7 linked regions of the Cricetulus griseus genome follow. The main gene of each other region encodes a partner of the protein of the gene in region 4 in a complex. Links are inferred from orthologs where the notes say so. Each region holds a gene or a part of one and is shown on either strand. Other genes may lie near its edges. The genes, in order: Rbm48, Dhx16, Cwc15, Srrm1, Crnkl1, Snip1 and Eftud2.

Region 1 (4,037 bases), on a different chromosome or scaffold from region 4:
CAACTGGAGAGAAAGGCACACAGCCCTTTGAAGTCAAATGCTTTAGTGGTGGGCTAAGTAGCATATAAAAGAAATATGAGGGGCTGGAGAGATGGTTTGGTGATAAGAGCACTTGCTGATCTTGCAGAAGAGCAGATTCAAATCCCATCACCTACCTTGGGTGGCTCACAACCCCCTGTACTCCAGCTCCAGGGAATCTGAAGCCGTTTTCTACTATGAAGTTACATCAATAGCAAAAGTCAGACAAAGATACACTTTAAATCAGGTTACTAATTAAAAAGAAAAAAAAATGGCTGACATGAACTAGGGAGAGTGCTCAGTCACAAAAGCACTTGCATAAGCTCAGTGCCTAGGTTGGAATCCCTGGCATCCACATAAAAGCTGGGCACTGCTGTATGCCTACAATCCTGGTGCTGGCAAGGGCGAGGTACAAGGATCACTGGTACTTGACAGTCAACCAGTCTAGCTGATGAGCTCCAAATTCAGTGAGAGATCCTGTCTCAAATAAATAAATGAATAAAACAGAGCGCAGTGTGGTGGCACATGCCTTTAAACCTAGTAGAGTCAGAAGGAAATTTAAATTTTAAGTTTTAAGTTTAGCCTGGTCTACCTAGCTAGTTCTAGGCTAGCCAGGACTACACATTAAAACTTGTCTCAAATAAATAAATAAATAAAAGTTGGAACACTGAAGAAGGCAATCAACATTGACCTCTAGCCCCCCCCACACACACACACTCACACTCCTTCCCCCCAAAATAAAGCATTGTTGACTTCACCTTATTGGAATACAAGAATTATGTCATATGTAAGTATTAAAAAGAAGGTGATTAGCATAGAACTTTAACAATAAGAACTGCCATTGCTAATATTTACTCCTAATAGGGAGTACATAAATTATTTCATTTCATCCACAGTCAGGGAACCTCAAGAAGCAGACCTTTTTGCTGTGTGGATTTTAAGAAGAAGAAAAATGTGCTTATCAGGATTTAAAACACTACCAAGTAATGAGGACATAGGGCTGGAAATTTGCTTCAAATGTAATTCTGAATCTACCGTACTACTGGTTCAAAAACTGTGAAGCACAGATATGAGACGATGGAAACAGCTTTGTATTTGTAAAGTCAGCCTTTTAAAAAAAATTTTAAAGATTTTATTTATTTATTATGTATACAGTCATGTGCCTGCATGCCAGCAGAGGGAACCAGATCTCATTCAAGGTGGTTGTGAACCTCCATGTGGTTGCTGGGAATTGAACTCAGGACCTCTGGTGGTGATAAACACCTTTAATCCCAGCATTGGAGATGCAGAAGCAGGCTCTCTCAGCTTGAGGCCCGCCTGGTTCCACAGAGTGAGCTCCAGGGCAGCCAGAGCTATGCAGAGACCCTGTCACGACCCTCTAAAACAAACAAAAACAAACAAACAAACAAACGGGAAGATCTAGGGTGATGAGTGTTTGTGTGACATGGATATGTCTGGGAAAACCCCAGGGCCGAAATGACAGCAACAGGAACACAGGGTATAGCTACTGCTTAATTTGTACACACCTTGCACTTTGTAATTTCACAAACTTGATGAGATAAACTTCTGTAAAATCTTCTGCTGGGTATTCATCTAGAGCGTTATACTGTTCAATCGCACCGTATAGAGCAAATCGCTCGACTAATTCCTTCATGGCTCCCACTGCAGGGACTCCCTGTATTAATAAGTACTGGGATTCCAAATTGATTGTGTATACCTAAAAAACAACAACAACAAAAAACCCTCAATCAATAAATGTACCTCGCAGACAAGCAAGCCTATGGCAAATCTGTCGCTCTGGGAGGAGGAGGAGGAGGAGGAGGAGGAGGAGGAGGAGGAGGAGGAGGAGGAGGAGGAGGAAGAAGAAGAAGGAAGAAGAAGAAGAAGAAGAAGGAAGAAGAAGGAAGAAGAAGGAAGAAGAAGAAGAAGAAGAAGAAGAAGAAGAAGAAAGAAAGAAGAAGAAGAAGAAGAAGAAGAAGAAGAAGAAGAAGGAAGAAGAAGAAGAAGAAGAAGAAGAAGAAGAAGAAGAAGAAGAAGAAGAAGAAGAAGAAGAAGAAGAAGAAGAAGAAGAAGAAGAAGAAGAAGAAGAAGAAGAAGAAGAAGAAGAAGAAGAAGAAGAAGAAGAAGAAGAAGAAGAAGAAGAAGAAAAGAAGAAGAAGAAAAAAAGAAGAAGAAAAGAAGAAGAAGAAGAAGAAAAAAAGGAGCTTTGAAAGCAAGAAGAAGAAGAAGAAGAAGAAAAGAAGAAGAAGAAGAAGAAAAAAAGAAGAAGAAAAGAAGAAGAAGAAGAAGAAGAAAAAAAGGAGCTTTGAAAGCAAGAAGAAATACTCTGGTCAATTCCGCCTGTAAACACACACGCAGAACTGTCGCTCCCGGCTAACGGCTAACACAGGCCCCCTGAGGGCGCCTGGCTACCCCAGTCAGCGGGCGCCAGTGCGCGCGCTGAGGAAGCGCTCCTGTCAGCTCGACGGCGCGGAGCGGCGAGGAGCGCAGCGCTGACCTCCGGTCGGTCCCGGGGCCTCCCGCGGGGAGAGACCCCTCTGTGGCGGCGTCCCCGTCAGGCCCTCCTCACCAAGGCCGCCCCCGCCCGGGGGCCTGGGAACGCGAGGAAACCGCAGCCGCCCTACCTTGACGGCGCGAGGGCGTCGGCCCTCCCGGTACCTGGCCCGCGAGTCACACACGGCCGTCTGCACGTGGTGATCGAAAACGCTCCCCGGCTTCCCGTCACTGGACGCCATGCTGCCAGCGGCGACCCCCAGCGCCACAACAACATCCGCCGGACGCGCTCCTCCTCCTCCGTGGCCAATGAGAGGGCAGGGTGGCTGGCGCGTGCTTGGATTGGCCGGGCAATCGACGCCATCGACGATCGTTTCCTGGGAGCGCGAACTCGGTCCTCCGTGTGCCGCCCCCTCGCGTCTCGGAGGAGCGACGGGAGGGTGACGCCGGCGGGGCCGGCGACGAGGGGGCGGGGCCGATCGAGCGGCCGATCGAGCGCCAGCCCCGGGCTCCGGCGGACGCCGCGACCTGCGCGGGAAGCGGGCGGGCTCGGGGGAGCGGGGCCGGGACGATGTGGAGCGGCGATCGCTCGGCGGCTGCGGGCTCGGGCGGGGCGGTCGTGACGGTGGCCTTCACGAACGCTCGGGACTGCTTCCTCCGCCTGCCGCGGCGCCTCGTGGCCCAGCTGCACCTGCTGCAGGTAACGCGCTGTCCGGGTGGGGGCCGGGCGCCGCCGGGGTCCGCCCGGGCCGGGCCTGGTCCGTCCCCGACGGCGCGGAGCGTGTGAGCGCCCCCCCCCCCCCCGCGGCGCTGCACCCACCCCCTGCGCGGCTCGGGCGGCCCCGGCCCCGGCCCCGGGCTTCCCTCCCAGCCCTCCGCCGCAGCTCGGGTAAAGCAGACTGAAAAGTCTGGGATTCTTTGCGAAGCAGCCTCGCTCTCGGCTGCAGAGCTCTAGAGGTCTCCGACCCACGGGCTTTCGGAAAGCGTCGTCCTGCCACAGAGGCCTCCTTCCAGCCGCTGTGTAGATTACGGAGGTTTCCAGTTCGTGCCCAAGAAGGTTAATAGGACGGCAGCTCTCCCGGCTTAGGAGAGAACTACGCAGGGGTGTGCGGGGAGGGGAGGAGCAGGCGATGGAATTATTCACACCTCACACCTTTACACAGGGGTAACAGGATTACTGGAACCTCAGCGAACTGTCACTGTCCGGATGCCGTCATTATGGTGTTCCAAGGTGGAAATACAGCACGCGGATTTTCTTAACCAAGAGTGAGAGGCAAATAGGTTCTCATGGGGGGGGGGGGAATCGAAAATTAGAATATTTGAAATCTTCTAAAATCTGGCATGCTGCCAGACTACTGGTTCATCAAAGAGGTATCCAAGAGTTTGAAATGACTTCAAGTAGTTCAACTTTCTTTCCTCTTGAGCTGCTTCTATCTTGCTGTTAAAATCCACCTATCAAAACACATCAATTTCATCAGAATCAGTTTTATTGTTAGTTTATCTTACCAAATAGACTTTCTTTTTTT
Region 2 (2,393 bases), on a different chromosome or scaffold from region 4:
CCCTTCTCCAGGACCTTTGATGCCTATTCCACCTTCTACCTGAATTCCAGTGGCCTCATTTGTCGCCATCACCTAGACAAGGTGAGTGTCGGGACTGGGTGGGGTAGGGTGAAGGGCAGAGCATGTCTGTGTTCCTCCCCAGCCTCCATTAACCTGTCTCTGCAGCTGACACCCTCACACTCGCCGTCAACGCCTGTCAAAAAGCTGCTAGTGGGAGCCCTGGTGGCCCTGGGGCTGTCAGAACCAGAGCCCAACTTACACACGTGTTCCAAGGCCTGACCCAGACTTGGGTCAAGGCATCACTGAAGACTTTGCTACGCACAAGAGGAGGTGAAGGTGGACAAGAATGTCGAGGGCCAGCCACCTCCCTCCATGCTCTCTCTTTCCCATCTCATGCTGTGTAAAGCTGCTGTGTAATTTAATTTGTAAATAATAAAGTTTAAGCAACGATGAGGTAGAGTTTCATGTCACTTTTTCAGGGCCTCAAAGTTGCCACACACTTAATTCCAAAAATAATTTTATTTACTAAATATTAAATAAAGTATGGAAGGAAAAGGAAGCTGTGTGGTCCAGTCCGTTTGTCATCCACTAGCCCAGCTCTTCTCGTGTCTTGCCTACTTTTTTGGGCATTTTCTTAGCATGGGGATCTTCTAGTTCCTTGGCCTTATAGTAGTGGGGGGCCACTTCCAAGAGCCAGCTGCTCTCAATCTCCAGGACCTGTAAGAGGACAGAGGTCAGTAGGGCTCCTTCACTTCCAAGCCAGGGTTTTCACTGTGTGGTTAGGAAAGGCTTCCCTTCCCCTTTGAGGGCAAGAAGGCACCTGGCTATGTTTCATGCTGGCCGGGCAGACACACCCTGACCTGCTCAAGACATCAGGTAGGTGAGCCCCGAGAAGAGCCTGTTCTGTTCCTCAGGGCAGACTTCATCTGCTTCGTTTGCCTCTGTGGCCCCAGCACGTGGCACACACTTTATTGATGCTGGATATGAACCAAGCGAGGCTCTCGCTCGCTACAGAAGACTCACCGAGGTCTCAGCACGACCTCTACTTTTTCCACATTTATAAAACGTTTTATGTGTATGGGTGCTTTGCCTACACATATGTTTGTATATTACATGCATACCTGATGCCCAAGAAGGCCAGAAGAAGCCGGGCGTTGGTGGCCCACGCCTTTAATTCCAGCACTCGGGAGGCAGAGGCAGATGGATCTCTGTGAGTTGGAGACCAGCCTGGTCTACAAGAGCTAGTTCCAGGACAGCCTCCAATGCCACAGAGAAACCCTGTCTCGAAAAACCAAAAAAAAAAAAAAAAAAAAAAAAAAAGAAGGCCAGAAGAGGGTGTCAGATCCCCTGGAGTTAAGAGGCAGCTGTTAGCCAACAGGAGGGTACCAGGAAATTGCACTTAGGTCTTCTGGAAGAGCAGTCAGTGAGCCATCTTTCCAGCTCTGTTTATTACTGTGTGTGTGTGTGTGTGTGTGTACACTCGAGCACGCACACTCAAGTACAGTGCCTGCAGAGGCTAGAAGAGGGTGATGTGATCAATGATTCCCCCAATCTGGAGTGTATTGTGAGCTGCTTGCTGTGTGGGTGCTGGGAACTGAACCCAGGTCCCCTGCAAGAACAGTGAGTGCTCTAGACCACTGAGCCAACTCTCCAGCCCCACTGTTACCTAGGCAGATCTTCAACGTGTTGTCGTCCTGCCTCACCTTGAGCACCAGGGACTACAGACCTGTGCCATCAGGCACAGCTTCAATTATCTATTGAATGAGTTACAATTCTCAGATCTCGGAAGGCACTAACAGTTGCAGGAAAGGAATTTTTTTTTTAAGATTTATTTATCATGTATATAACATTCTGCCCCCATGTATGCCTGCACACCAGAAGAGGGCACCAGATCTCATTATAGATGGTTGTGAGCCACCATGTGGTTGCCGGGAATTGAACTCAGGACCTCTGGAAGAGCAGTCAGTGCTCTTAACCTCTGAGCCATCTCTCCAGCCCTGATTTATTATTTTTTTTTTAATTTATGTGTACCACGAGCTACATCCCAAGCATACATTAAGTCTGATGACATGTGACCCTATGTTAAACTAATAGACCTTTTTGTTTCGGTGACAGTCCCAGAAATACAAATTGAGTTTAAGATGCCAGCATACTGTCTCCCCAGTCTCCACCCATCTAAGCAAGCAACAATCCCTTACCTGTCTCATGAACTCCTTTGTGGTCAAGACAAGCTCATGGTAAAGCAACCAGCGTGGCTGTTGTTCAAAGAGAGAGGAGTTGGGATGAATAAACACTGTCTGCTGCTGCTTCACTGTGCGGTAGCCACTCCGAGTCAGCCTCGCGGTGTGGTAAAAATAACCCGAAGTGATGGCCTAAGATGCAGGCAAGAAAAT
Region 3 (4,111 bases), on a different chromosome or scaffold from region 4:
TGGCAAATAAGCCTTTGATAAATATATGGTAGTAAATATTAAATGAATTAATGAGTTATGAGGATGGCAGCATCTCAGGAAACTTAGCCAATGTTCATACATACTAGAAACACAAGAAGGGTTACTGACGCATCTCAACTACATGGAGGAATGAATAAAATGGGGCAGCTCTGGATAGAAGGCCTGGGTTCCAGCTGCTGTAAAGCCAAAGTCTAACGACAGGTACTGAAATGATGGCTTTGAAACACCATTTCTTCTAATACCAAAGCATGAGAAGATGGAACTGGAATGAACGTCATTATTATCTCTAATCATTTATCAAAGAGGTATAGTACACAAAAACATCATCTCCAATGACCAACACACAAACAATCTCCACCAAATAACTTTGAGACAGACACTAAGAACAGTGTAGGTACCTCGGGTTGGACGGTCCCTATTTTTTTCCCTTGCAGCAGCTCTCTCTCTCTCTTCCAACTCTCTCCTAAAGTCACGGTTACGAACCTCTTCAGGGGCATCCTGTGTAGTTTGTCTTAAGAAGAAAGAAACTGGGTTAAAAATGTTACTCTCACTTGTCAAGGAAAAGAACCTATAAGGCTACAGTAATTTAAGACAATTTAGGATACAACTATCTCTGACCAATAAAATGAAAGAGGACACGATAATAAGGGACACCTGCGATGTTTTCAGTATTACTATTAGAACAAACTAAAGCACACACTCTCCTCCAACATGAAATGTCTGAATGAAATGTCTTTGTTTTTTTAAACTATTAATCAACTCAAGGGCTGTCACAGTAACGCTTCCATATTCACTACAGTTCAGTCTTCTCTGAGGTACTTATCATGAATGAGTGCTTCATCTACACACAGGAATTTCTGGTTGATAGGAATGTCTACTGAAAGAACGTCCAGTAACACTTAAAAACCACAGAGTATAATTTATTGTAAACCCCTTTGAATTCCATTTCTTTGAAGATAGGTAACAAATACAACAATCTAGACACAGTCATAAGTCATGCAGGTTTGGTCCCATTCTGTGAACAAGACAAACCAAGGCCTTATTACCTGTATTTTATCTTTGTATGAGAGGGGAGGTCTCTGCTTGAATACTGCTTTGAAAGCTGGCTCAAATCCCCTTCTCCTTTTCCTCGTCCACCTCTTGCAGGTTCAAAAGTTGGCCTGGCTGCTGTTGTCATCTTTTATTCTTTGACAAAAGTGAGATTAAGTTATATTCGGTAGAACTCTCATCTTAGAAATCATTCATAAATATCTATCCTTATGACTAATTCCCAAAACTCTCCCACAAATTGCTTAAGTAGTTTGTTTTAACACAAATTTCTACAAGTTCAGAATTATGAAACTCAAGTTGCACATGAGATATGTCCTGCCAGGCAGCTCTTAATTAAAAAAAAACAAACAAATAAGCAACAACAACAACAAAAAACCCAAAACTTATTTGAAGATCTGAGTTTGTGCTTTTGTTCTAGCTAAGTAGACTTGGGCAAGTCTCTTAGCTTGTTTTTGTCATCTCTGGAATGCTGATATTTCTGTAGTGTTATTATGACAATTCTGACAAATGATGGCAGATCTCATACAATAGTGTAATGTGGCTTTTAAAAAAAATAACTGTTTTAAAAATTCTTATCTTACTAGCACTAGGTTCTCTTGAATTTGTTTGTTTGTTTTGTTTTGATAGGGTCTTAATATGTAGCTCTGGCTGACCTGGAACCCTCCAGGGATCTACCCAACTCTGCCTCTGGAAAGTTGGAATTAAAGGTGTGGACCACCACGCCTAGCCAAGATCTGCATTTCTATGAGAAACCTCACACAACAGTAAATAAACCGAAAGGAAAAAAAAAATACGCAAACAAAACACCAAGTTTCTTCTAAAGTCACGGATCACTCTCAAACTTTAGTGTCTCAGAGTGAGTTTGTTTAAAACCCAATGACATTCACGCGGGCCACACTACCCAAAACCCAGTTGATGCAATTCTCTTCTCCAACAGTTACCCTAACACGTAGAAAACCTTTGGTACGATGCAACTTTAGCAGTGCTCAGAAAACCGAAACCCCACCCCGAGAAATATCAAGAGCCCATCCCGAACTGGGGTGTACTTCTGGGACCACCCCAGGCGCTCGGAAGGTGAAAGCGGGAGAAGCACGAGTTCGAAGCTAGCCTGGGGCTACACGAGACTGTCGCTACAGCAACAAGAGAACCTTGTGCCACTTTCAACTTGGAGCTGTCACATCAGAATTCCGGCGGACCGACTGGGCTGCTAGGCCTCCGTTAGCGTGAGCAGCGCGCTCAGACAGACCCGGAGGGAAGGAGCTTCGTCCCCATCCCGCCCTGCTGCTCCTCGGTGTCAGCGGCCGGCGCCGCGCCGGTGCCCGCCCGGGGCTCGGCCGAAGCTCCCGACCGCCATGCCGGGCCTGGGGCCCCGGCCGTCCTCCCGGCAGCGATCCCGGCCCCCCGGCGCCACCCTCGCAGGGACCACAAAGCCCCATGCACCCCTGCCGCTCGCTCACTCCGGCGGGGTCCCACGCAGCGCCTTGGGAGGCTCACCCACGAACCATCGCAGCTCCCAGCTCCCAGAAAGCTCCGCGCCGGGGCAGCCAGCCCAAGACCGGAAACAAACCGCTTGGCGTCTAGCTCCTCACCTGGGGGGCTCAGTTAAGACCCGGAAGCAAAAATCTTGGCACTTCCAACGGCCGCGTCGGAAGCTTAAGCTCCACACCCGGAAGCAAACCTGAGGGTTTTTTGTAACCGTTTCTCAGAGGCTGGTGCGCCGACCAATCCGCAGAGACCCTGGAGGAAGTTGGCGTGACGTCGTCGAGGGGCGGAGCCAGGGCGGCCCAGGGGGCGGGTGTTTGAAACCGGTGCTTGGGAGTCGAACCTAAATATCTGTGTTTTTTTGAGAGCCAATTACTTAATCTGTCTTGCGTCTTTTCCTTCCCCGACCCCCTCCCAGACTCCTCCGCTGCGGTGCTGCGAGGACCGAAGGCGCCGGGGAGTCGGCCCCGCGTCGGGCAAGCGTGAGATCTGAGGAGAGCGCGCCCGCTGGCCCAACGGCTCCCGCTCCTCAGTAGACCCCGCAGCCTAGGGACTAGAGTTGTCACTTAAGTGGATGTGAAGAAGGCGCACATAAGTACGGGGGCAGCCACGAGCTTTCCAAAGGTACCATTCCTGCGAAACCACTATCCTCGGAGGCAGGGGTCGTAGTCGCATTGCTTGTTAAGATATAGATACATAGAGATAATATGCATTAAGCCGCGTAGTGTGAGGGGAGAGGCCGTAAGCGTTAACGACAGCCAGCGTTTAGAGAACAGTGGGCTTAACTGCCAGGAGGAGCATGAGCTGCAATTAAGATGGCTTCCTCATCGTTGTCTTGGTGGTGCCCTATCCTTGAGATCTTGGGAGACGATAGATGCTCAGTACGTTCTCCAGTTTGTCCCAAGTGGAAGGACCGCCTAAAATCGAACATTTCGGTGCCTTCCTTTGGAACTTTTTAAATGAAGAAGGAAAATTAGAACAGATTCTTCCCCCCCTCTTCCTCCTTCCCCGTCCCCCCTCTCCCCCCCAAGTGGAAGGTAAAACATTTCTTTTTCTCATGGAAGCTATATACCTCCCTCAACCTCACACAACCTAAGAACACCATCAGATTAGCGGCTCAAGCCCAAGGTCCACCTCTGTCACTCTTCACATCCCGTTCACTTGCCAATCTTGTCCAGTATTGTGAGAATTACCCTGAAGTTCATTTCCCTGTCACCACATTCATTCAGGCTGCTGTCATTTTCCTCTTGTATTTGTAAATTGCTTCCAAATGGACTTTCCTGAGGTTTTGCACAGAATGACGGAGTTAGGGTACTTAGGATAAAACAGCCACTTGTCTTAACTTGATTCTGAGGATTCTTTATAGTCTGTCTCATGCCCACCTTCCTGGCTTCAGTCAGTCATGGGTACACCATGCTCTAGATGCACTCAACAGGACGTCTCTGTTTCTCAGAGCAAGGCAGGGTTCCCTGTTTATTTTGAGTTTTGAGACAAGGTCTTGCTATGTAGCCCAGGCTGGCTTTGAACTGCAAGTTCTATGTATCCTGACTGACCATCC
Region 4 (4,166 bases):
AGAAACAAAAAAGGGGCCAGGTTTAAAAACAAAACAAAACAAAACATCTAAACAAGTATCAGGTGATAAGAGCTGGGGGTAGAAGGATGACTAAAGGGTATCGGGATGTGGAGGGTGTGGGGGGCAGCTCCCTGAGGAACAGTTAAGTGAAATTTGAAGATTGCCAAGCCGCTTTGTGGTTGCCTGTTCTTGTCGGAGGCCTTGGACAGCAGGAACTAACGTAGGAAGTACAGTGAGTCAGGCTGGGGCACAAGAGATCAAAGAGAGGGAGATTTTGACTTTTGGGGGGGAAATATGTAAGGAACCACTGGAGACTTCTCAGCAAGAATGCCTACGTTTCCAACAGTGCCACTCTTCGGAATGGATGCTGGGTGGAAAGGTCGTAGGGATCTATCTGTTACAGGGCTAATGCCGGGGTTGGAATCAGATAAAGGGATCTTGGGCCTCCATCATAGTGGCACGTGGGTTTCCTGATGGCTTAGAGGCGCGAAGTGCAGAAAAGTGGTCTCAGCAGCAAGGTCGGTCCTAAGCAAGAGGAAAGCTATTGGCACCTACAGAGATAGAGGGGACTCGGGGGCGGCCGCTTGACCTCCCCGCTGTTTTGCTCGATTTGCTGGTTTTGATGGCCTGGATAAGCCCAGTCTGTCTGGTCTATGGCCGTCCAAGCGGGAAGGGTAAGGGCGTCGGTGTTAAGTTTGAAGCCTAGGAAAAGTGCCTGGGGACGTGCGGGTGTTCACAGACAGACCCACTGCCAGACTTTTTTTTTTTTTCCCCAAGAGAAAGCAGGGGAGATGAGCGTGTCTGTGAAAGAGGGACTGCTACAAGGTGTCCTATGATAAGGCTTTCCTGGGGAAGGGAGAGAGCGCTTGGTGGACATTCTGGAGGCCCTGCCCCTCGTCCACTTCCTGCCCTTCAGCACGGTTTCAGAAACGTATCCAATGGACACCTCGAGCGCACGCCAGACGCGACGCAGATCCGGCTGGCACGCGGCTTCCACTCGCGCTGACACTGACGCTCCCGGGTCAAAGCCGCCGGCCACCCAAAGCCTCCACACATCTCCCCGACTTTCACAATGACAAGGCAGCGAGCTTCTAACGCCGCACCAGCGTCACCCCTGGGCAACCTTTCTCCACCATGACGTCCCCCAGCCACCCCAGGGCCGAGGCCTTCCCCCGCTACGGGTCCCGGAAGGGACCAACTCGCGTCGCGCGAACAAGGCTGATCACGCGCCACAAAAGGATTCGTAGGGTGGGGCGACTCGAGGACTCGCCCTCCTATTTCCATTGGTTGCGGCCGCCGGGATCTCCTCCCCTCTTTGCAAAAGGCGGAGGCCCGGGAGAGCCTGGCACATGCGTGGCGTTCCCTCGGAAGACTGAGCAGGCGCAGCGGCAGGCCCGCGGGAGGGTGCAGAGGCGCGCGCAGCATCCCGGCGCTGGGCTCCCTTCTGCCGGTCCCGCCCTCCGTCGCGGCGGCGCGGTGCACGCTGGGATAGGGAGCGATCTCCGAGCGAGGCAGCAAGATGGACGCGGGATTCTTCCGCGTAAGTAGGAGCGCGGGGATCTGGAGCGGGGGAGGCGAGAGCCTTGTCCGTGAGACCCGGCAGGGGGCTCAAACCCGGGGCGCGGCGGCCCGTGGAGGGAGGTTTTAGAGACCCCGAGGGGGCTGGGGGCCGGCGTACCGTGCCCTGGGCGCTGCGGCCGACACCGGTGCGCCCCTGCGCAGTCTCCTCCTTCGGGATCGTCCCCCCCCCCCCGACGCGGCGGCGGCCGGGGCCGGAAAATGGCGGCGGGAATGGGCCGGGGCAGAACCTCACCGGCCGCCTGGCGGGGCCTGCAGGCCGGGCGCCGCGCCGGCCTCCGGGGCTTGGGGCCTAGTGCAGCCCCGAGGAGGAAGTCCCTGGGGGGAGGCCGGTGGGAAGCCCGACGCGGCCGCGGGGCACCGGTAGTACGGTTTGGGGGTACGTCCGAGAGAGCTTCTGGAGGAGAGGGGCTTTTAAGCGGACGTCTAAGCGTCCACCCTCCGGGTCTTGAGCCTTTGCGGAGGAGCAGGGTCAGAGTTCGAGAGCGCTCCCGCCCAATTTGATAGCTCTTCGGGAGGGGGGACTCAGATAATCTGTAGTTGGAACATTTGAATCGGAGGCTTTTAGGGCGAAGTGTGTGCGCGAGGGTGGAAGCAGATGACAGCGGGAACCCATTGCTCTTCCCGCTCTCCGCCCGCCCGCCCGCCCGCACCTTTTCCCAGCCGCCGATGTTTGGGGTCCTGTGGTTCTATCGTAGGTCCAGGCAGGGGACGTTTCCTTGTTAGAGTTGGTCCACCCCAGGCTAAGGCAGTTTATTAGGTGGGAGCCACCCACCCGTGAAGGAAATTTGCTGCAGGTCTATATCCAGGTGGATGGGAACGGACACTTGTAGGATTAAAAGTTGAGTAGCAACGATCCCGTTAGGGTTTGCTCATTCTTTTAAACGCAGAGAAAAACCGTATAGACACTGCTTGGTAAAAGTTTAAATGCCTGCTAACTGTAATACGGCTTAATTTTGCATTCCCTGGATCGAGCATGTAATTTGCAGTTTGTGTTAGTTATTAAAGGAAAAATTAGAGGGAAAGGGTTAATTTAATAAGGAAGCCTCTTATGGCTGGGTACGTATGTCTAACATGAGCAAGATTCTGGGTTCCCTCTCCAGCACTCTGAATCTCTTGGCACTGCAAACTACGTATTCACAATATTATTCCAAGTGTTTAACCTAAAGCGCTTAGCCACTTGTTTCTTAGATCATACAAGCACTAAGAGAGTTACATACTTGGAGTGTGGTAATTTCAAGCGAGCTTGTATTTTATAGTGAATACTCAAGTTCTTACGGCACAGAAGTTACACTTAAAAGCAATTTCACTTGTCTATTAGTTCTCTCTCTCTCTCTCTCTCTCTCTCTCTCTCTCTCTCTCTCTCTCTCTCTCTCTCTCTCTCTCTCTCTCGGTGTTTGGCTTTTCTGTTCCTGGAACTCTATAATAGGCCTTGAGTTGTCTCCCCAGTGCTAGGATTAAAGGCATGCCCCACCACTGCTCGGCTTCTCAGTTATTTCTAGTGGGAAGTAGTTTGAATGAATGAAGAATGCAAAATGTTCTGAGGAGTCTATTTTAGACGAAGTTTTCCTTTGAAATTGGACAGAATCCGGAAAAGAATCCAGTTTTTAAAAGTTTACTCTTTACATTTACTTAAACCAAGTAGTCTTGTCCCAGGGTTGGATGGTTTTGTTGTCACTGGGTTGGTTGCTGGAGCAGCTGTTTTGAAACTGGGTTCTCACTAACTGTGACTGGTCTTGAACCCAGCCAGAGCCCTTCCTTGTGCTAGAATTCCAGACATTGCCTCACACCTGGCTTAATGGAGTTGTAGACTGCATTTAAGCCTTGAGCTAAGATTTTAGATCAATTATCTAGTACACTGCCAACCAGAATCTGACTGAAATTTGGTTTAAGGTAGAAATGGTATCCTGAATTTACTGAAGTGCCCTTGTGTTGGGCACTTGATGTGAATCATTTCCCATATATACAACAGCCATGTAAGGTAAATTTCTATTATATTTTTAAGGAGGCTGTTGACAGTATTTTTTTCCCTTTTCAAGACAGATTCACTTGCCTCTACCTTCCAAGCACTGGGATTAAAGGCATGAGCCACCACTGCCCTGCTAGTTAACAGGATCTTGGTATGCAGACCAGGCTGGCTTTGAACTCTTAGAAATCACCAGTTTCCTGAGTCAACCTTGAGATTAAAGTTGTAGGCCACCACTCCTTTTTTTCTTTTTTTTTTTTTTCCTTCTTTTTTTTTGGTTTTTGGTTTTTTGAGACAGGGTTTCTCTGGCTTTGGAAGCTGTCTTGGAACTAGCTCTTGTAGACCAGGCTGGCCTGGAACTCACAAAGATCTGCCTGCCTCTGCCTCCTGAGTGCTGGGATTAAAAGTGTGCACCACCACTGCCCAGCCTAGCCCAAAACATTTTTTTCTTTAAAACTTTTTTGTTTTTGCAGTACTAGGGACCATGCCCAGGGCTTTGTATGTGTTAGCCAAGTGTTAAACCATTCAGCTATAGCCTTTCTGGATCACTTTCTAGGTACTTTAATAGGGATTTTGTTTTGGTTTTTGAGAACAGGTTTCTCTGTGGTTCTGGCTGTCCTGG
Region 5 (2,776 bases), on a different chromosome or scaffold from region 4:
AAGTATACACATAATGCTAAAAATGAAAAGGGGTCGGAACAAGACTGGTATCAGCACATTCCTTTTCTAATGGGATCAAAATGAGGTGTCATGATCCTACCCCATGTTTAAGGCAACAGAAAACAAAGACACAGCAATGTTAGGACTGGACTCAGGTTGTGTGGTATCAACATGACAGAAGACAGTGACAGGTTTAGAGGCACAAACACCATCAGAGAGACCTTTTTCCTGCAGAATGGATCATGAACACGTAAGAGTCAAGTTGCCTGCACTTGGTGCACACCTTTAATCCCTGTACTTGGGAGGCAGATGGATCTCTAGAGTTCAGGCCAGCCTGATCTACAGAGTGAGTTCCAGGATAGCCACCAGGGCTACACAGATAAGCCCTGCCTCGACTCCCTCCCCTCAAATGTCTGCAGTTCTACCTAAAATAGGTGCTGAGCACATTAATTTCATGTAATAGACAATATGGGCAAGTACTAGGAAAGTTAGGACTCAAGTAACAAAACTTAAAAAATTTTCTTTACTTGCAATTTCTCATCCACATTTAAACCCAAGGGTGTTTTCAAAAATAATTCAAAGGTAGCTACCAAAAAATGCCAAACAACTCCTTCCTGGGTAAATATACAAAAACATTCAGAAGTCAAAGTTCTAAACTATTAATCCATAAAAATATTACAACATTTAAAAAGATGAGGATTCACTCTCATCAATGTCCTTATCTGGATCCTGTTCGGCAGCTTCTTTTTCTTGTTGCTGTTTCTTCCAAAGCTTGGCCATTGCCAGAAGTTTGAGGTTAGGCTGGTTGGCAGCATCCTCAGGAAAGATGTAATCATAGTATTCTTCCCACCCAGCATCGGACTGCAAAATTAAATCCACCAGTTAAAAGGGGAGTGCACATCTCTGGAACATGCTTCATTCAGAAGGGAGAGTGAAGGGGAAACCTAGACTTCAAATTCACCCATGTTTACTATACAAAACAATAGCAAATCCTGCTGTAGGAGGAACGAAAGCCTGGGCCCAAGTGAGTGACTAAACAGCTGCTCACTGAAAATGAAGGACCAAGTGAAGGAAATTAAACCTCTAAGCACAGCTTCTCCTGAGGCAATCAAGACACTCAGCACCTCAACTCCACCCCACAGTCATGTTTAAGACTTTAAAATTTTGAGTTTTATGGGCTGGAGAGATGGCTCAGCTGTTAAGACCATGTGTTGCTCTTGTAGAGGACCCAGATTAGGTTCCCAGCACCCACATGGTAGCTCACAACCATCTATAATTCCAGTTCCAGGGAATCCAATGCTGCCCTCTGACCTCCAAGGGCGCAAGGCATGCACATGGTACACACATACATGTGTAGGCAAAACACTCTTTAAATATTAATCTTAAAATTTGAATTTTACCCAATATTCAGTAGCAGAGGCCACCCATATAGCTGTGTATTATTTGGACTCCTAGCTCTCATCTTTTCACTTTCAACTGATCATGGATTTTACTTCTAAATACTATCCTGAAATGCACGCTCTCCTCTCATCTCCCACACATCCACCTCTCAGTTGCTAGACTTAGGAAAACTGTCCAATAGATCATCTATATGTCACTCAAGTCTACCTGTATGAATTGCCAGTAATCTAGTCATATACAGGCATCTTCAGTGGTTCCCACCAAACTTGTGCAACCCTAAAATGTCTTCTCAGGATTGGTGCCCCCCCCAGTAGTCCTCCCCCCATGCTGACTTCCTACTTCCCACTCTACAAATATCACATTCCCAGACTCCACCCTCACTGTCTTTGCCACACACACACCCCTTCCTGCTCTATTTTCCATCCCTGCTGTGTTCCTAGTAGCCAGACTACAAGTGGTCCTTATTCAGGCAGTCCACTACTTCAAAGCACACATTTCAAAGTCAGATGCATTTCTACTCCTTTGACAAGATATGAACAAGCTCTAGTGCTTAGCCCTTACCCCATCGTCGGCCTGGACCTTTCTTCTCTTCTTGACCTTTTCTGGCATGAGTTTGTCTACTCTTTCCTTGTCTGATACGGTTCCAAATTCATCTTCAAAACCTCGCCAGGATTCCAGCAACATAAGTCTCTCTTCTTTTTCTTCACAGTTTCTCATCGTTTTATTTGCCTCTTCATAAATCTGTCTGCATTTAGCCACACTTCCTTCTTTCCCTGAGGATAACTCAAACTGAGCAAAACTGATCCATACCTTTAAAAAATTAACAGAACCAAATTACCCATGTGGGCCAGAAGACAGTAATATGATGGCTTTAAAGCTACTTTCTCCAGTTGATAACGTGATGATGTATCACTGATAGCATTGCAGACTAATACATTGCACATATCTGACCATACACTGAACCTTGAATGTGATTTCCAAGAGATTCATGTGCACATGTGCAGCATAAACAATGACCTGGTATAAGCTTAAAATTCTTAAGTCCTTTAAGAACAGATCCTAAGAGCAAGAAAGTCATTTAAAATAGTCAGTCAGTCTAAAAGCACCAAAACTGCTGTATAAAATAAAATGAAAGACTGTTGACAAAGTTAGGGTACCTTGACATGCTGTGTTCGCTGAAGCAATTGTCGGTAAAGATTTCGTGTTCTTTCAGTTTCTTCCTGCTCAATCTCAAAATCAATATATGATTTCCAAAGTACCTAAGAAAAATGATAGGTCAGTCTTAGCACTAAGAAAGCCATGTGCCCCTATAGTTCAGCCATCCTGACCTACACCCAAGACCCTATGACTTCATTCAACAATTAAGATTCATGTG
Region 6 (4,110 bases), about 10 Mb from region 4:
GCTCTTGGCTTTAATCCCAGCACTTGGGAGGCAGAGGCAGGTGAATCTCTTTTGAGTTCAAGGCCAGCCTGGTCTACAGAACAAGATCCAGGACAGTTAGAGCTACACAGAGAAAGCCTGTCTCAAAAAAACCAAAGAGTTCTAGGCCTGCCTATAATACCTACTAAGCAAGTTTCAAGCCAATCTGGACCTAACTGACAGGAGGTCAACTGTCTCAACTACAAAGATGTGGGATCATGCAATTTTTGTGTCCTGTCGCCGCCGCGCCTGCTGCGCTCCGCCCCCCCCGCCCCCCCCCCCCCCGTTTAGTAAGCAAGCCATCATGGTTCAGACATCTTGTAACTCATCAGAATTTTCTTCATTTTAAGGCTGAGTAATAATAATAGTCCATTTACTATAAATACATATGGAATGGTAATGGGACTAGAATTCAGGAAACAGGCTAGGCAAGCGCTCTACTTCTAAACTTTAGCCCCAGCCTTTTCGAGACAGGGTTTCTCTGTGTAGCTTTGGAGCCTGTCCTGGCACTCGCTCTAGAGACCAAGCTGGCCTCGAACTCACAGAGATCCGCCTGCCTCTGCCTCCCGAGTGCTGGGATTAAAGGCGTGCGCCACCAACGCCCGGCCTCCCTTTTTACTTTTTGAGACAGTGTCTCTCACTAAACTTATAAACCAGCCTTGAACTTGTGATCCCCCTGCCTCAGTGTAGGGATACATGTACACACCGCCACACTGGCTTGGAGCAAGACACTAGAAAATCTGGAAGATAACTCAGCACCCATGTGGTATCTGACAGCGATCCTTAACTCAAGTTCTAGGGAATCTGCTACCCTCTTCTGGGATCTGTGGGTATCAGACATATACACAGTGCACACACATACATGCAGGCAGGCAAAACACATACACATGGGGGGGGGGGAGATGCACCAAAAAAAAACTTTATTTTTAATCACACACATTCAAGACTGTTCTAACATTTACAGAGATGCAGACAAAGGAACTAGAACAGCTAAGACAATTTTGAAAATACTAAAGTAAAAGGGATTGGGGCACTCAGGTTTCAAGACTTATCACTTAGTGTGGTACTTGAGACAGCATGGGATTGGCGGAATGATAGACAAAAATAAAGATAAAGATAAAGGTGGAAAGGAACAGGGCTCTAGAGAACAGCTGGAGGCCTCCCACTGGCAGTGAGATGTCTGTATCCTGACTGTGATACTGCCCACGGTTGTGTGACAAGTTGCCATTGGGAGAAACAAGGAAAGGTACATCTCTCTGCACTATTTCTGGCAAAGAGTTATCAGAATTAAATCAATAACTTCCTCCAAATTTGAAGTTTCACATAAAACAACACAAACATATATCTAGTCTTTAGAAAAGCCCACAGCCAGGACAAGGAAAGACGGAGACACGCCGGTGCAGGCCACCTTTAGGTCCAGCAACAGCTCTGGATTTGAACGTGGGTCCTAGCAAAGGCTCCTGCCCACTCACTCACCTGCTTCACTTTGACGGTGGAGTAGTGGGGGCTCCGGCTTCTCTTAGTCCGAGGAGACTTGCTTCTTCTCCCTGAGGACTTGTTTTTCTTTTTGGCTGGGGACCTTATCAGAGCATGGTACACAGGATTTTACCTCAATGTCCCTGCCCCCAAATAAATTAGCTTCAAGTATCAGGCTACTAAACATAACACATTTGTGAAATCACTAATGGAGTCAGGTCCTCACTTCCCTAGCCACTTCTCCCAGGCTCACATACACAACTGCCTGCTCACTTAGATACCCTAATACTTGAACCCCAAAGCTCTTTTCCCAGTCTGTCATCCTACTGATTGGCATCACTATCCAGGGAGTCAATCTTGCCTGGTTTTTGGTTTTGTTTTGTTTTTTGTTTTTCCTAACACACTCCCTTCTCCAACAACCACATCCAATCCCTTGGCAAGTCCCAGGGACCCACCCTTTCCTCCACCCCACCTCATTCCTACAATGCTGCTCCTTCATCGCTCAATTCCAGACACACTGCCTGTTTTGCTTCAACTTTTAAAACAAGCCCAATTCCACTTCAGGTTCTTCGCATACATTTTTCTCTGTCCTGACCCAGCGCTAGTGCCGGGGTTAAAGGCGTGCGCCACCACGGCCCGGCCACGTTACTGTTTGACTATATCCTCAGCACTAATTGAATCTATTTGTTATTTTCCTTCTTTAGGGTTGGAGCACGCCCAATTTCGCCGGGGCCAAACCATCTCTCTTCTTCACCCTGTGGCCCAGTACCTCAATTGATCGTTAGCCCACACTGTGCACTCAGTAAATCGATGCCGTACGGGGGGCATCGGCGAATGAGTGCTGCGAAGAAGTCGCCAGGACCCAACGTGAAACAACACTTTGGCGGCAGGCAAGTGGAAAGACATTCCCACCGTCCCCCGTGGGAGGCGGGGGGAATCTCATTTCAACTCAACAGGTGCTCTACACCCCGAGTCGCTCGCACCGCCCGGGCCCCGCGCCATCCCGGCCGCGGCCCTCTCACCGGCTCACTCCCCGGGCTCGACTCCCACGGTGGCTAGCGCGGCCCGGCTCGGCGGCGGGCGGGGACGGGCTAGCGGCTGGGGCGTCGGGCCGCCGGTGCGCGATAGGTTCGGGGCTCAGACGCTCCTGCTTCACCACCACGGTCGCCAGTGCGTCGTCGGCCCGGTGTCGCCGCCGGCCGCTTCGCTCCCGCTCGCTCTTCCCGGCCTTCATCCTGCGGCCCGGCCGAGAGCCACTTGCACGGTCCGTTGAGCCACTCGAGCCGAAGGAAGTGACGGCCCGACCTTTGTACTTCCGCTTCCGGGCAGCGCGCTATCCCAGAAGCCCTCACGGCGGGGGGTCCCCTAGGTGGGCGTGGCCGCAGATGCTAAGGTTCCTACGCTGGGGACGCCCGGGCTTGTGACCCCGGGATCCCGGCTCCTGGGGAAGTGAGGCTGGAGGACTGGAAAGTCAAGGCCAGACCTCGGGAGGCGGAGGCAGAAGAATCGCTGTAAATTCGAGGCCAGCCTGGGCAATTTAGTGAGTCGGTCAGGTAGAGATTGCCTAGCCGAGCCCGAAGCCCTGGATTCCATCCGCAGCACCGCCAAATAGAAATTAAGTTAAAAGGGCGGAAAGCCTGGAGAATGTATCTTAACAGTAAAGTGAGCGTTTGCCTCGCGTGTGCAAAGGGCTGGGGGCAGTCCCTAAGACCTCACAAATCACCAAAAGAAAAAAATCCTTTTTTTTTTTTTTTTGCTTCTCGAGACAGGGTTTCTATATGTAACGTTGGCTGTCCTAGAATTTACTCTGTAGACCAGGCTGGTCTCGAACTCGAGATCCGCCTGCCTCTGCCTCCCAAGCCCTGGAATTAAAGGTGTTCGCCTGGCTCTTAAAAAAGACAAATCTTGCCAGGCGTTGGTGGCGCACTCGGGAGGCAGAGGCAGGCGGATCTCTGTGAGTTCGAGGCCAACCTGGTCTACAGAGCCAGTGCCAGGATAGGCTCCAAAGCTACACAGAGAAACCCTGTCTCGAAAAACCTAAATAAATAATAAATAAATAAATAAATAAATAAATAAATAAATAAATAATCTTGGGGTCTGGGCTGGAGAGATGGCTCTTCCTGGGGTCCTGAGTTCAATTTCCAGCAACCACATGGTGGCTCACAACCATCTGTGATGAGATCTGGTGCCCTCTTCTGGCCTGCAGGGATGCATGCAGACAGAACACTGTATACATAATAAATAAATAAATCTTTAAAATAAAAGAAAGAAAATTGGAAAGTTAATCCAAACCTGTTCGTGGCGGATTGTTGATAGTTACAAAACACAGACAAATACTCAACAATAGGAAATTCTTTTTTGTTTCTTGAGACAGTGTCTATGTAATCTTGGCTGTCCTGGAACTCACACAGATCCACCAGCCTCTGCCTTCTAAGTGCCAATCGTTGCTAAACAAACTAAGGAGTCAGGAGATGACTTGCGTTTTAAGGCTGAGCAAAGGTGGTTTGCCCATCTCATCACATCCCTTATTAGATCTAGCGCAAAGTCTCCAATCTTGTTTACCAAAAAGCCTGGAGCGTGTGGAGCTAGTTCAGTAGAAAAAACTTGCACGTGGCC
Region 7 (3,500 bases), on a different chromosome or scaffold from region 4:
CTGGACTACACAGTGAGTTCCAGGTCAGCCAAAACTACACAGAGAAACTAGGCCTCAAAAACTAAATAGACAAAATTTTTTTTTTTTTTTTTTTTTTTTTTTGGTTTTCAAGACTACACAGAGAAACCCTGACTCGAAAAACAAAACAAAACAAAACAAAAAAACCAAATAAATGAATAAATAAATGTGTTTGGGTGCTTTGCCTGCATGTATGTCTGTGTACCGTGTGCACATCTGGTGCCAGAGGCCAGTAAAAGGGTACTGGATCCCCTAGAACTAGAGTTACAGATGGTTTGTGAGCTGTCATGTGGGTGCTGAGATTCAAACTTCAGTCCTCTGCAAGAGCAGCCAAGCACAAGCCTTCTATCCCAGCACATGGGAGGCAGAGGCAGGCAGATCTCTGTGAATTCGAGGCCAGCCTGGTCTACTAAGCTAAACAGAGAAACCCTGTCTCGAAAAAACAAAAACAAAACAAAATAACAACAACAAAAAAATCCAACCCCTAAAATTACTTTCCTGTAGCTTAAACTTGTGAGCCTCGAAAACTGTCCAGAATTGGAGGCTGGCTGGGATTGCACTGTGAGACACTGCCTCAACCCGGGCCTCACAAACATCCCTTCGCTACTTCTACATGGATACATATTACACTTACCAAGCTTAAGATTCTCCCTCCATCTTTTGCTTAGTTTTTAGAGACAGGGTCTCTCTGTGTAGCTCTGGCTGTCCTAGAACTCAGTATGTAGTCCAGGCTGGCCTTGAACTCACAGAGATCCACCTGCCTCCGTCTCTCAGTTACTAGGAATAAAGGTGTGTATTATCACACCTGGCTCTAATTCATTTTAAGATGAATTGCTTAGTTCATTTTTTTCTTCCATGGTCTCTCCTCTCCACCCTTCATCTTGGCAGTGCTAGCGACTGAATCCAGGGTTCGTCTACCTCTGAAGTATGTTCCCAGCGGCTCTCAGCTTACCTCGTCAACATTTCCTAACACCCCCAGGGTGCAATTCACCTGGACCTGCAGACTTGAACACACTGAAGATGCAAGCCACCCTCATTTCCCCACACCTGCAAGCAGCTTCAACTTCCTTTTCTCTAGTGAATATTTTTTCTAGCTTGAGAAACATTGTCCTTTACAGAAGCTGATGGCAACCAGAACTTTGTTCCCATCTTCTGCTATCCCGAGAATATCTTATCTCCTTGTTAATAGACTAATCAATCCACTGCATCTGTCTTCACTGTTTGACAGTTTTATACATCTGCATAATGGAGTTAGTTCTTCTCACCCATCCCCTTCTCATTCCCACTGAAATCATTCTTCCCCAAAAGACCCTACTTTCTTTAAATCTATGTTTTACTCATCATGTTCAGAATAATGCTAAAACATTAGAGCCACTTTGGGTGCCTGTTGCCATTTGGATGCAAAATGTCTCTGTCTTGCTGGTGTTTGAACACCTAGTCCCCAGTTGGTGGTGCTGTTTTAGGCTTGTGAAACATTAGGAAGATGGAGCCTTGGGGCTTACAGTCTGGCTCTGGTTTCTGTCCTCTCTCTCCTCCTAGTGTCCTGAGATGTGAAGAACCAACTGCTGTCATGTGTGCTCTACTATGAGCCACTGAAGTCCTGAAATCATGAGCCGTAAGTCCTTCCTCCTTTAGTCGGTGCTTGACAGGTATTTGTCAAGAAACATAAAACAGTACTCTAAAACAGTACCCCCCCCCAAAAAAAAAAAAAAAAAAAGCCAGGCGTTGGTGGCACACGCCTTAATCCCAGCACTTGGGAGGCAGAGGCAGGCGGATCTCTGTGAGATCGAGGCCAGCCAGGTCTCCAAAGCGAGTGCCAGGATAGGCTCCATCGCCACACAGAGAAACCCTGTCTCAAAAAACCAAACACAAAACTTTTTACTAATTCTTTAGGGCTATTTTTTGGAGACAGGATCTCAACGAAGCCTGGGCTTGCCTCAAACTCATTGTGAAACTGAGGCTGACTTTGAACTCCTTATTAACTGCCTCCATTTCCATGTGTTGGGATTACATAACATTCCTGACTTTATAATAAAGTACCTTTGCAAGCCTCAAACTCTTCTGGACTTTTAACTCCTCTCTTAAACTGGAATAGGAATCTACACCCTCCTTTTGTATGCTCCCTCCCCCTATTTCCAAGTCAGTTTCTCTGTGCAGCTCTGGCTGTCCTAGAACTCACTCTGGAGACCAGGCTGGCCTTGAACTCACAGAGATCTGCCTGCCTCTGCCTCCTGAGTGCTGGGATTAAAGGTGTGTGCCACCACTATATTTTTCGTGTGCCTCTTTTAAAGTCGGAGCTCACAGAGAGTTGCAAGTGCAGATGCACTGACACAGCTGGCTTCCCGTTCCTCAAGCGGGATTGCTTGTGATTGTCAGGAGACACTACAGGGAACCAGAAGCGCTATTACAGAGCAAATACTAGAGCTCAGACTCTAAAACCACCTCATGAATGAAATGCTTTGATATTCCCTCTGAACTTCTAGGGGCCAATATAAAATACCAATAAAAATCATGTTACAAAAAAGGCAACATTAGAAATACATGCAGGTTATTACAGGAGAATTGTTTTAAAAAGGAGAGGGATAAAGAAAACAATGTTTAGCTGGTCTGTGGGAGGCACAGGCAGGTGCCTCTATGAGTTTAAGACCAGCCTCGTCTATAGAGGGAGTTCCGGGACAGCCAGGGCTGTTACACAGAGAAATATGCCTCAATGACCCCCCACCCCAAAAAAAGGGGTGAAAAAAAAAGTAAAACACCATGTTTGTTTTACCTCATCAAGATCTTTTGTCTCTCTTCCCAGTTCATCATCATCTTCATCAGAATCGAGCTCTGGTCCAATATAATTCCCAAATTCATCATACAAGTCAGTATCCATGATGCTAAAATTCAAGAAGAGTCGAGTCAGGATCTGTAAGTCCTGCAAGCCTGCATCACACCCTGTCTCCTCACACACCATCCCTTCAGGAGCTGCCTTGGGACTAACCCATCTAGTGAACAATCTCCCCAGAGTCCAGTACTTTCTCCACTTTGCTGCCCTACTCATTTTAAATATTCACACACCCCACCCTCATCACTTTATTTACTTAGGGACAAGGCCTTTTGTTGCCCAAACTGGCCTCAAACTCTATAGCCCACATTGGTCTTGAACTCCTGATCCTACTGCCTTAGCCTCCAAAGTGCTTCGATAACAAACTTATGCCCCATGCCTAGCTTTGTTTTATTTATTTAAAATTTTTTATTTTCTGTGTGTAGGTGTTTTGCCTGCATGCATGTCTTTATACCACATTCCTAGACATGAAGCCCACGTAAACCAGGAGAGGATGTCACCTCCCTTGAAACTGAAATTATAGACTGGGTGTAAGCTAACATGTGGATAGGGAGAATCGAACCTGGGTCCTTTGAAAGGGCAGCCAGTACTCTTAACCACTGAACCATCTCTCCATTCCCACCTGGCTTTCTTTTTAATTTTAAAGGCATGCAGG

Evidence for each region.
Region 1: Srrm1 (region 4) and Rbm48 share a complex: the UniProt entries of both Homo sapiens proteins name them as parts of the minor spliceosome. The link is inferred for Cricetulus griseus from reciprocal best matches to the Homo sapiens genes SRRM1 and RBM48.
Region 2: Srrm1 (region 4) and Dhx16 share a complex: the UniProt entries of both Homo sapiens proteins name them as parts of the minor spliceosome. The link is inferred for Cricetulus griseus from reciprocal best matches to the Homo sapiens genes SRRM1 and DHX16.
Region 3: Srrm1 (region 4) and Cwc15 share a complex: the UniProt entries of both Homo sapiens proteins name them as parts of the minor spliceosome. The link is inferred for Cricetulus griseus from reciprocal best matches to the Homo sapiens genes SRRM1 and CWC15.
Region 5: Srrm1 (region 4) and Crnkl1 share a complex: the UniProt entries of both Homo sapiens proteins name them as parts of the minor spliceosome. The link is inferred for Cricetulus griseus from reciprocal best matches to the Homo sapiens genes SRRM1 and CRNKL1.
Region 6: Srrm1 (region 4) and Snip1 share a complex: the UniProt entries of both Homo sapiens proteins name them as parts of the minor spliceosome. The link is inferred for Cricetulus griseus from reciprocal best matches to the Homo sapiens genes SRRM1 and SNIP1.
Region 7: Srrm1 (region 4) and Eftud2 share a complex: the UniProt entries of both Homo sapiens proteins name them as parts of the minor spliceosome. The link is inferred for Cricetulus griseus from reciprocal best matches to the Homo sapiens genes SRRM1 and EFTUD2.

What each region holds. Positions count from the first base shown.
Region 1 is NW_023276806.1:221,965,166-221,969,202, forward strand, and holds the start of Rbm48 (RNA-binding protein 48), read right to left. Parts: upstream 2,801-4,037; 5' UTR 2,754-2,800; coding exon 2,643-2,753; intron 1,736-2,642; coding exon 1,545-1,735; intron 1-1,544. Other genes in the region: Pex1 (peroxisome biogenesis factor 1), read left to right, coding at 3,083-3,211. UniProt on the Homo sapiens protein: As a component of the minor spliceosome, involved in the splicing of U12-type introns in pre-mRNAs.
Region 2 is NW_023276806.1:229,796,489-229,798,881, reverse strand, and holds the end of Dhx16 (pre-mRNA-splicing factor ATP-dependent RNA helicase DHX16), read right to left. Parts: intron 2,373-2,393; coding exon 2,199-2,372; intron 718-2,198; coding exon 589-717; 3' UTR 501-588; downstream 1-500. Other genes in the region: C1H6orf136 (uncharacterized protein C6orf136 homolog), read left to right, coding at 12-81, 166-279. UniProt on the Homo sapiens protein: Required for pre-mRNA splicing as a component of the spliceosome. Contributes to pre-mRNA splicing after spliceosome formation and prior to the first transesterification reaction.
Region 3 is NC_048597.1:127,975,011-127,979,121, reverse strand, and holds the start of Cwc15 (spliceosome-associated protein CWC15 homolog), read right to left. Parts: upstream 2,801-4,111; 5' UTR 2,661-2,800; exon of another isoform or gene 2,529-2,660; intron 1,207-2,528; 5' UTR 1,199-1,206; coding exon 1,068-1,198; intron 533-1,067; coding exon 420-532; intron 1-419. UniProt on the Homo sapiens protein: Involved in pre-mRNA splicing as component of the spliceosome. Component of the PRP19-CDC5L complex that forms an integral part of the spliceosome and is required for activating pre-mRNA splicing.
Region 4 is NC_048595.1:17,919,366-17,923,531, forward strand, and holds the start of Srrm1 (serine/arginine repetitive matrix protein 1), read left to right. Parts: upstream 1-1,366; 5' UTR 1,367-1,519; coding exon 1,520-1,540; intron 1,541-4,166. UniProt on the Homo sapiens protein: Part of pre- and post-splicing multiprotein mRNP complexes. As a component of the minor spliceosome, involved in the splicing of U12-type introns in pre-mRNAs. Involved in numerous pre-mRNA processing events.
Region 5 is NC_048599.1:33,095,571-33,098,346, reverse strand, and holds the end of Crnkl1 (crooked neck-like protein 1), read right to left. Parts: intron 2,661-2,776; coding exon 2,559-2,660; intron 2,212-2,558; coding exon 1,963-2,211; intron 862-1,962; coding exon 685-861; 3' UTR 501-684; downstream 1-500. UniProt on the Homo sapiens protein: Involved in pre-mRNA splicing process. As a component of the minor spliceosome, involved in the splicing of U12-type introns in pre-mRNAs.
Region 6 is NC_048595.1:27,987,065-27,991,174, forward strand, and holds the start of Snip1 (smad nuclear-interacting protein 1), read right to left. Parts: upstream 2,801-4,110; 5' UTR 2,729-2,800; coding exon 2,517-2,728; intron 1,598-2,516; coding exon 1,495-1,597; intron 1-1,494. UniProt on the Homo sapiens protein: Required for pre-mRNA splicing as component of the spliceosome. As a component of the minor spliceosome, involved in the splicing of U12-type introns in pre-mRNAs. Down-regulates NF-kappa-B signaling by competing with RELA for CREBBP/EP300 binding.
Region 7 is NC_048600.1:115,243,214-115,246,713, reverse strand, and holds part of Eftud2 (116 kDa U5 small nuclear ribonucleoprotein component), read right to left. Parts: intron 2,898-3,500; 5' UTR 2,894-2,897; coding exon 2,789-2,893; intron 1-2,788. UniProt on the Homo sapiens protein: Required for pre-mRNA splicing as component of the spliceosome, including pre-catalytic, catalytic and post-catalytic spliceosomal complexes. Component of the U5 snRNP and the U4/U6-U5 tri-snRNP complex, a building block of the spliceosome.